Linked DNA regions of Rattus norvegicus. The protein of the gene in region 1 interacts with the protein of each later gene in a pairwise test. Links are inferred from orthologs where the notes say so. Each region holds a gene or a part of one and is shown on either strand. Other genes may lie near its edges. The genes, in order: Nupr1 and Knstrn.

Region 1 (4,197 bases):
GAATATGATAAGTGGGAGTGGTGGTATAGGATGCCTAGAAACCAACGCTCTGGAAGTTGAGGCTAGAGGGCCACTTGAGTTTGAGACCAGCCTCAATAAAATGGACTTAGCACCTGCAACTTAGGGATGTTTACTCACAGAGCTATTGTGTGTGCAAGAAAGAACATTCTACCTTGTTCGTCTGAGTGAAATTACAGGAGCCCAAACTCAGCCCTCAGGCAACTCTACACTTGTATCCAATTGTCTTTTCATTTGCCCCACGTTCGCCTGGAATTCTGGTCCTGGCACCCACCAACCCACCCTGCTTAAGGAGAACTTTCTCTTCAGTTCACCAAGCACCCTGCCCTGGAAGCCAGCCTGTCATTCCATGCTTGGATTTGAGCCCTCAGTTGCTTAAAACAAATCCTTTGCATATTTTAAACCTCAGGTTGTTGGGGTTTTTTTGTCATTTTGCAAATAGTATTAATAGAAACATTCTCTTCAAAAAGCAGCTCTACATAATAGGACCTCATTGTGCTCAAGAATGGGGAAGGGACTGGCCAGTTTGTCTCTGGGGCAGTATTGCAAAGAAACCGCAATTTCCCCAGAAGAGACCATAGAAACAGGCACCTCAAAGCATCTGCATACATTAGGTAAGGCAACAATACTGGACAACTGGTCACAGCCCCCTAAGCTACACAGTAAGAAAACTCCCATCCAGATAGTCTCCTAAGAGAGATACACCATGGACACAGCAAGATACAATACACACAAACACAACAAAGACAGCACAACACACACACAAATGCTGTCACTGTTGTACAGTTTATTGTTACTGCCACCCAAGGGCATCCAGTTTTTCCCACTGTTCTTTTTGGGGGTGCCTTCTTAGCTCTGCCCATCTACCCTCTGCTTCTCGCTCCTAACTTGCCCTTTAGCTGGGTCCGGAAGGGCTTTTTTTGGTGTTCCCTCTCCAGAGCCTCACTTAGGTGGGAAAGAATCAAGCAGGCCTAGGTCCTGCTTACAACTCCTAATTTCTCCAAGGTCCTGTATCCATTGCTGGGTGTGGTGTCCGTGGTCTGGCCTCATCTGTGGAGAGGGAAAGCAGATGATGAAAGGGACAGAGATCAGAGTTTGAATTCCCACCTTCCTGCTCGTATTTTCTATAACTTTAGAGAAGTACTTGGCTCTCTCTGCCTCAGTCTCCCTTTCCATAAACCAAATTTCCCCTCCATTGGAAAGGCTCTCTGGGAAACTTTTCTCCCCTTTGGTTGCCAGGGAACTTCAGTCAAGTATGGGTCTCACATTGTTCTAGATGTAGATGACAGCACTATTTTTTCATTTACCGATTTGCTGATGTGTTTGCATGCATGTGGGCACATGTGTATTCTCCTGGGCAAGTGCTACTTTGTGGAGGTCGGAGGACATCGAGGGTACAGAGGTCCTTGTACTCACAGAGAAACACTAAGAACGAGAAATGTCGATCACACAGAGTGTCTCCTCAATGGAGGAGGCAAGTCAAATACTTGCATTCCATCTAGAAATCTGAGAGTGGACTTTTGTTAACAACCCAGTGACCTTTCTGCTCTGTGTGGAGTCAGACTTCCCCCCAGCTTTTGCTATAGAGGCAGACCTCACTCGAATTCTCCAGACTGATTATCCCAGACTCTTCCCTCCCTAGAGCATTCCCCGCTCTTAGGAGAGATGTCACATCTACCTGCTGAACTCCATGCTATTGGTAGAGACCACACTAGATCCTAGGTCCTTCAGCTGTACAGAACCCACCCTCAGGGTCACGTGTACTTTTAAATGAGCTTCCAAGTAGTCACACCTTACGCTTTACTGTGCTCCCGGAATTGGACTGATTGTTGCCTAGAAACCTCTTCCCAAGTTGAACTGTGTTTTAAATATGCTGACAATGAACCCTCCTGGCATCAGACACCCTGAAATCTGATCCAAGTTGATGGAAGTCAATCTGAATGGGGTTTTCATTCTTATCACTTCCCTGCCTGGGTATCTGCAGGGCCCCCTCAAGAACACAGCTTGCAGTTGTTCTCTCCCCTCTTTCATTATGCGGATCCCAGAGATCAATCAAGCATAGGTTGTCCTGCTTGGCTGCAAGTGCCTCCCTCACTGCCTCTCTGGCTCTTGACTCCTCACCTCCAGCTCTGTCTCAGCGCCAGGCCTTTTTCCTTTCAGAGTTCTGGAACTTGGTCAGCAGCTTCCTCTCATGCCCACCAGGGCTGGGGCGGTTGGTGTTGGCAGCAGCTTCTCTCTTGGTACGTCCTTTCCGACCTCCACCGACTGGTTGAGCAGGCGTTAGAGGAAACAGGGCAGAGGAGGTGTGTGAGGTTCAGGGGACAGGCAAATAAATAGCTGGGAGCTTAGGGGTGGGTAGGGCAGGATGGCCAGAATGTGATGGTCACCCTGTACATCTGAGGCACTCTACCCTAGCTGTTTACTCATGTCTAGAAGGAGAGACACTCACTTGTGAGTTCTTGGGGCTAAGGAAGACAAACTCAGTAGATGAGACTAGAAAGGGGGTACTTGGGAGTTGGGAATAGATTAGCTAATAGATTAGGTAAGATGGGGTTGGGGGTGAGAAGAGGGGAAGCTGACCAAGGAGCTGCCATGCAGACCTTACCGACATAAGATTGGGCCAGGCTGTACTGGTCATACTCATCCAGGATCCCATCTTCGTCCTCTATGTTTACAGGTTGCTGGGAAGTGTGGGCTGTTGGTGGCAAAGTGGCCATCATACCTGGTCTGCTTTCTCCAAAGTCTTGCCTGTTTTCCAAATGTCTGCCCTCTCCCAGTTCCCTCACCCCTACTTATAACGCTGTCTCCTCCTTAGACCATGGGGCTGGTTCCCGCCCTCCAAGCCCTGTCTGATGCAATCTGGCCTTTTTCCAGAACTGGGTCCATATACACCAGTCCTGAGCAGAGAGGAGCACCCTCCCCTTTCTCCTCCCTCACAGGACTCACCCAAGCCCAGCTGTGTTTTTCCACGTGGAAAGCTCCTGCCTCTGGGGGAGGAGGAAGCAGACAGGATCTGGGTACAAACAGTCTTTGGGATGTTGGCCAGAGAGAGCAGAGGGCCGCAGAACACACACACACACACACACACACACACACACACACACACACACACACATACACACACACATACACACACACATACACACACATACACACACATACACACATACACACATACACACATATACACACACACACTTACACATACACACACATACACACACATACACACACATACACACACATACACACACACATACATACACACACATACACACACACATACATACACACACATACACACACACAGAGTACATTGTACATTGTAGTCTGGTTCAGACTCAGGAGTTAGTGGCAGCATACCCACTGAAAAGGGAGGGAGGAGAGACACTGACCCACTTCTCGCTAAGTCAGCAGTTCCTGTCACAACCAAGGCTTCTATTTTTAAGGAAAGTCCCCTCACTTTACTTCAATAGAGTTCCCAGGGACTTCCTCCTCATCCAAGGTGGAGGATAGCTATCTGGTAGAGACAGCAAATACTCTGGATTCCACACTCTGATTCCTGATCCACCTCCCTCTGCCCTGCTTTCTGACAGAGGCCTTCTATGGAGCCCAGGTTAGCCCTTGAACTTGCAATTCTCCTGCCTCATCATACTAAACGCTGGAATTACAAATCAGCTCAGATCCAGTGTCTCCTGTGTGACCTTGGTCATGTTACTTTCCCTCTCTAGTTGCTTCAGTTTTCCCCTTTAACAGAGGATAACCCCATCTACCTCCATTGTGAGAGGCTGCAGGGACATGAGGCCTGGAAAAGCCTTCACAGCAGCTGGGAATGGTATAAGGATTAGTCATAATTTTCCATGGTTTCCCACACAGCCACACAGTGTTTTTGCTGTGACCAAAGGGGGGGGGGGAGATTTAAAATAAAATACTGTGGGCTGGCAAGATGACTCAATGGGTAAAGTACTTGCCGCCAAGCCTGGCAACCTGAGTTCATCGGTTTCCAGGACCCCAACAGTATGGGAGAGAAAAATCTCCCACAGAGTGTCCTCTGACCCTCCCATGCCCATTCACACACACACACACACACACACACACACACACACACACACACACACACACACACGATAACTGCATGTGACTTTTACATTCTAAATAATACATTGCTGTGGAGGGCAT
Region 2 (3,811 bases), on another chromosome or scaffold:
TGGATTCCAGACGATGGAATAAGAGAGTGTAAAGTTGAAGTTGCCTTGGATACCCCAAGAAGTTAAAGATATCAGAGCTGTGGGATACCTGATGAGGAAAGGGGCTAACAGGGAGTGGAACCAGGCCAAGAGAAAGAAGTTTGTTGCAGTCAACAAAGATGAAAGGATTTGGAGATATGAAGACCACTTTTACATCAGACATGGAGATGCAGAGTTGGGAGTCTGCCCAGCTGGTTTTTGGTCTTACTTTGGTTCAGAATTTCGTCACTGGGACGTTTTGGAATGGTAATGTACATCCTGTGATGTTGGAGGTATATGACCTGCTTCTTGATTTTGATTTTATAAGGGATCAGAGTTAAGTGTTTGGATGGATCTCAGAAGAGCCTTTGAACTTTGGACTTTTTTAACATTGCTGAGACTGCTATAGACTATGGGGACTTTTGAAGTTGGATTAAATGTATTTTGCATTATGCTATGCCTAGGTATGGCCCCCATAGACTCATGTGTTTGAACAAGACTATGGGGGCCAGGGAATGGAAGGTGGTTTGAATATGCTTGGCCCAGGGAATGGCACTATTAGGAGATGCGGCCTTGTTGAAGGAAGCGTGTCACTGGAGGAGTGGGTTTTAAGACCCTCTTGCTGTCTGGAAGCCAGTCTTCTCCTATGTTCCTTAAGCTCCTCCAATGCCATGCCTGCCTAGATGCTGCCAAGCACCCACCTTGATGATAATAGACTAGGCCTCTAAACCTGTACGCCAGCCCCAATTAAATTTTGACCCTTTAAGAGTTGCCTTGGTCGGGGTTGGGGATTTAGCTCAGTGGTAGAGCGCTTGCCTAGCAAGCGCAAGGCCCTGGGTTCAGTCCCCAGCTCCAAAAAAAAGAAAAAAGAAAAAAAAAAAAGTTGCCTTGGTCATGTTGTCTCTTCATAGCAGTGAAACCATAACTAAGACACTGTCCATCACTGAAGGAAGTCAGGACAGGAACCCACATGGAGAATGAACCTGGAGGCAGGAGCTGATGCAGAGGCCATGGATGGGTGCTGCTTACTGACTTGCTACACATAGCTTGCTCAGCCTGCTTTCTTGTAGAACTCAGGACTACCAGTCCTGGGATGGCCTCACCCACAAGGGGCTGAGCCCTGCCTCATTAGTCTTTAATTTAAAAAAATGCCATACAGGCTTGTCTGCAGCCCAATCTTATGGAGGCATTTTCTGAGTTGAGGGTCCCTCTTCTCCAGTGACTCTGGCTTGTAATGATGTAAGAGTAGCCAGCACTCCCCACAACCCTAGTTGGCCTGGAGTGCAGCCTAGGATAGCCCTGCACTTGTGGGAATCCTGCCTCGGTTTCCTAAGCCTATTACAGGCTCCTATTACAGGCTTAAGCCAACACACCTACAAAGAAGCCTCTTCCGGTCACGGGGGCTGCAGATGGCTCAGTGGTGAAGAGCATGCGCTGCTTTTCTAGAGGATGCAACCTCAGTTCCTAGCACTCACATCAGGCAGCTCGTAACTGCCTATCATTCCAGCTTCAGTGGAGGTCCCATTCTCTCCAGGCATCTGCACTTACCTGCTCGCATATACAGGTAAAACCTTCAAAAGTCTTGTCTTAAAAATAGCTTTTGGGTTTCCTGCCAAGACGACTGCTCAGGATGACGGTGCCACTGATCTTCCCCTGATGGTGGTTCTACACCTTGAGTCTTATCCCCGAAATTCCACTCAGAACAGGCATCACACAAGCCTAATGTGACTGCCATCTGTAGCCACAACTGCAAGCCTCCACCCTCAGTCCCCCGTTGTGTGTGTGTGTGTGTGTGTGTGTGTGTGTGTGTGTGTGTGTGTGTCCCCAGCTCACCTGCTTCTGATGTTCCTCCGGCTGGCAGTCTCCGCAGCTTTCCCCTGCCTATGGAAGCAGAATCAAAGTTCATCAGAGAACCACAGTGCTTGGTGCTACAAAGAAGGTGCAAATGAGGGCTTGGCTTCTTTGCTGTTTTGAGACAGGGTTTGAAATCCTAATCCTCCTGCCTCAGCCTCCTCGCTTCTGGGATGGCAGGTGCACGCTATCACACCTGGTTTAAGAGTTTCTGAGGGAAGAACCAAAGTGCACATCCCAGTAAACAGCTCGGGCTGAGAGCTGAGCCCATGCATGCTGCTGAGCCCATGCACGCTGGTTTCACCCCCAACGACCTGATGACCTGAGCCTGCTTCTGATTCTACGGCTGTCTCATGCCAACCACAGTCACATGGGAGAGGGTCACTGCTAGAGTCACATGTTCATGCTAGATGCGGGGGCTGGACCCTGCTCAGGCCCGTGAATAAGGCTTACAGTCGGCCTCAGCTTTCAGGCTATGACTGTTTGGCCAGATTATTTTATGTGGATGGGTATCTTTCCTACATGTATATATGCATCAAATGTGTGCCTGGAACCAAGAGAGGTCAGAAGAAGACACTGGGTTTCCTGAAACTAGGTTAGAGATGGATTTGAGTCACGGTGCTGGTGCTAGGAACAGAAGGTACTCTCAAATTCAGAACTGCTAAGCCATCTCTTCAGTCTCTATTAAACATTTTTGGTGTTCAGCAATTTCTAGAAAAATCAGTATCTCTCTCTGTCCCTCCACCTCTCTGCTAGAAAGTCAACCAGGGCCCTTAAACACACACACACACACACACACACACACACACACACACAGGGCAAGCCCTTGGGCTCTCTCGAGGTGTTATAACCAAATGTCAGCAATCTGCTCTCACCCGTTCTCTCGTCTTGGTTTGGTGACTTTTGTAACGTCAGGCTCTAAGCCTCCCGTATGAAGATGTCTAAGCATCTCAGCGTCTTTGGATTTAACAGGTAGCTTAGAAGTAGCTCGAGTTTGTGTATCTGAAAGGGAAAACAGGCGTGAAACCACAGCATGACCCACCAGCTTCCTCACTGTGCCACACACAGCCTCACTCTGAGTTACCACAATCCCTTATTTTCATACTGTCAAATCTTAGTATAGGACTAGAAAGTCCAAAGAAAGTCTCTACGCCAATTTGCTCTAAAAATGTAGAGACTACTCTTGACTCTGCCTCCAAATGCTGGGTTTGTAGTGTGTTGTTTATAAAACAAAATCCCCAACGTTTGATTTACCTATGAGGACTCAGGAGCCAGGCGCTGAGTTGAAAGGCTGCTAGTTCAGAGAGACAGAGAAAGCACCTAGCTGACTGTCCTACTCCACTGATGTCCTAGAGGGCAAAGCTCCCTCTCCATGCTCTCTTAAATCCCCTCCACTCACAGGCCTTCCTTTCTCTTTCCTGGGCTTTCTGAAGTTCACTGTCAACTGGATGCTTGCCCCGCCTCTTGACCTGTCACTGACTTCATTTAACCCTTGTCTACAGAAAGCTCTTTGGTTAAATGTGTGCTAGGGCTGAGCCACACCACAAGAAACAGGTTTTCCAGTTCCCAATCTCGGGGTTCACAATGTGATCAAATGTCCTGCAACAAGGTGTGCACTGACACACACAATTCATGGCAAGGGACAGCTCTGTGTGACTACTGATACACCACACTTGACCGGCTACAGCCGTGTGAATTTGGAGACAGGAGGAAGAACCCAATTGCAACTGCCCCCTCAAGGTTCCCACATCCTTTCTCCCCAGTCAACATCTAGCTGCTTTCTCTTAAGTGCTGCCTACTTTCACCAAAATGTCTTCCCAACCACTCTGAGACATCTTCATGGGAAATATCAGGTATACGACCAAAGTTCAGGAATCAACCATAAGTGGAATAGAGAGAACATGTCAGCTACAGCATCTGTTTCACTGCCCTGTATATATAA

The links.
Region 2: the proteins of Nupr1 (region 1) and Knstrn interact in a two-hybrid assay, tested with the Homo sapiens proteins (2 studies listed by BioGRID and IntAct). The link is inferred for Rattus norvegicus from reciprocal best matches to the Homo sapiens genes NUPR1 and KNSTRN.

What each region holds. Positions count from the first base shown.
Region 1 is NC_086019.1:190,643,081-190,647,277, forward strand, and holds Nupr1 (nuclear protein 1), read right to left. Parts: upstream 2,822-4,197; 5' UTR 2,736-2,821; coding exon 2,624-2,735; intron 2,284-2,623; coding exon 2,153-2,283; 3' UTR 2,140-2,152; intron 1,069-2,139; 3' UTR 786-1,068; downstream 1-785. UniProt on the Homo sapiens protein: Transcription regulator that converts stress signals into a program of gene expression that empowers cells with resistance to the stress induced by a change in their microenvironment.
Region 2 is NC_086021.1:126,257,693-126,261,503, reverse strand, and holds part of Knstrn (small kinetochore-associated protein), read right to left. Parts: intron 2,872-3,811; coding exon 2,745-2,871; intron 1,900-2,744; coding exon 1,852-1,899; intron 1-1,851. UniProt on the Homo sapiens protein: Essential component of the mitotic spindle required for faithful chromosome segregation and progression into anaphase.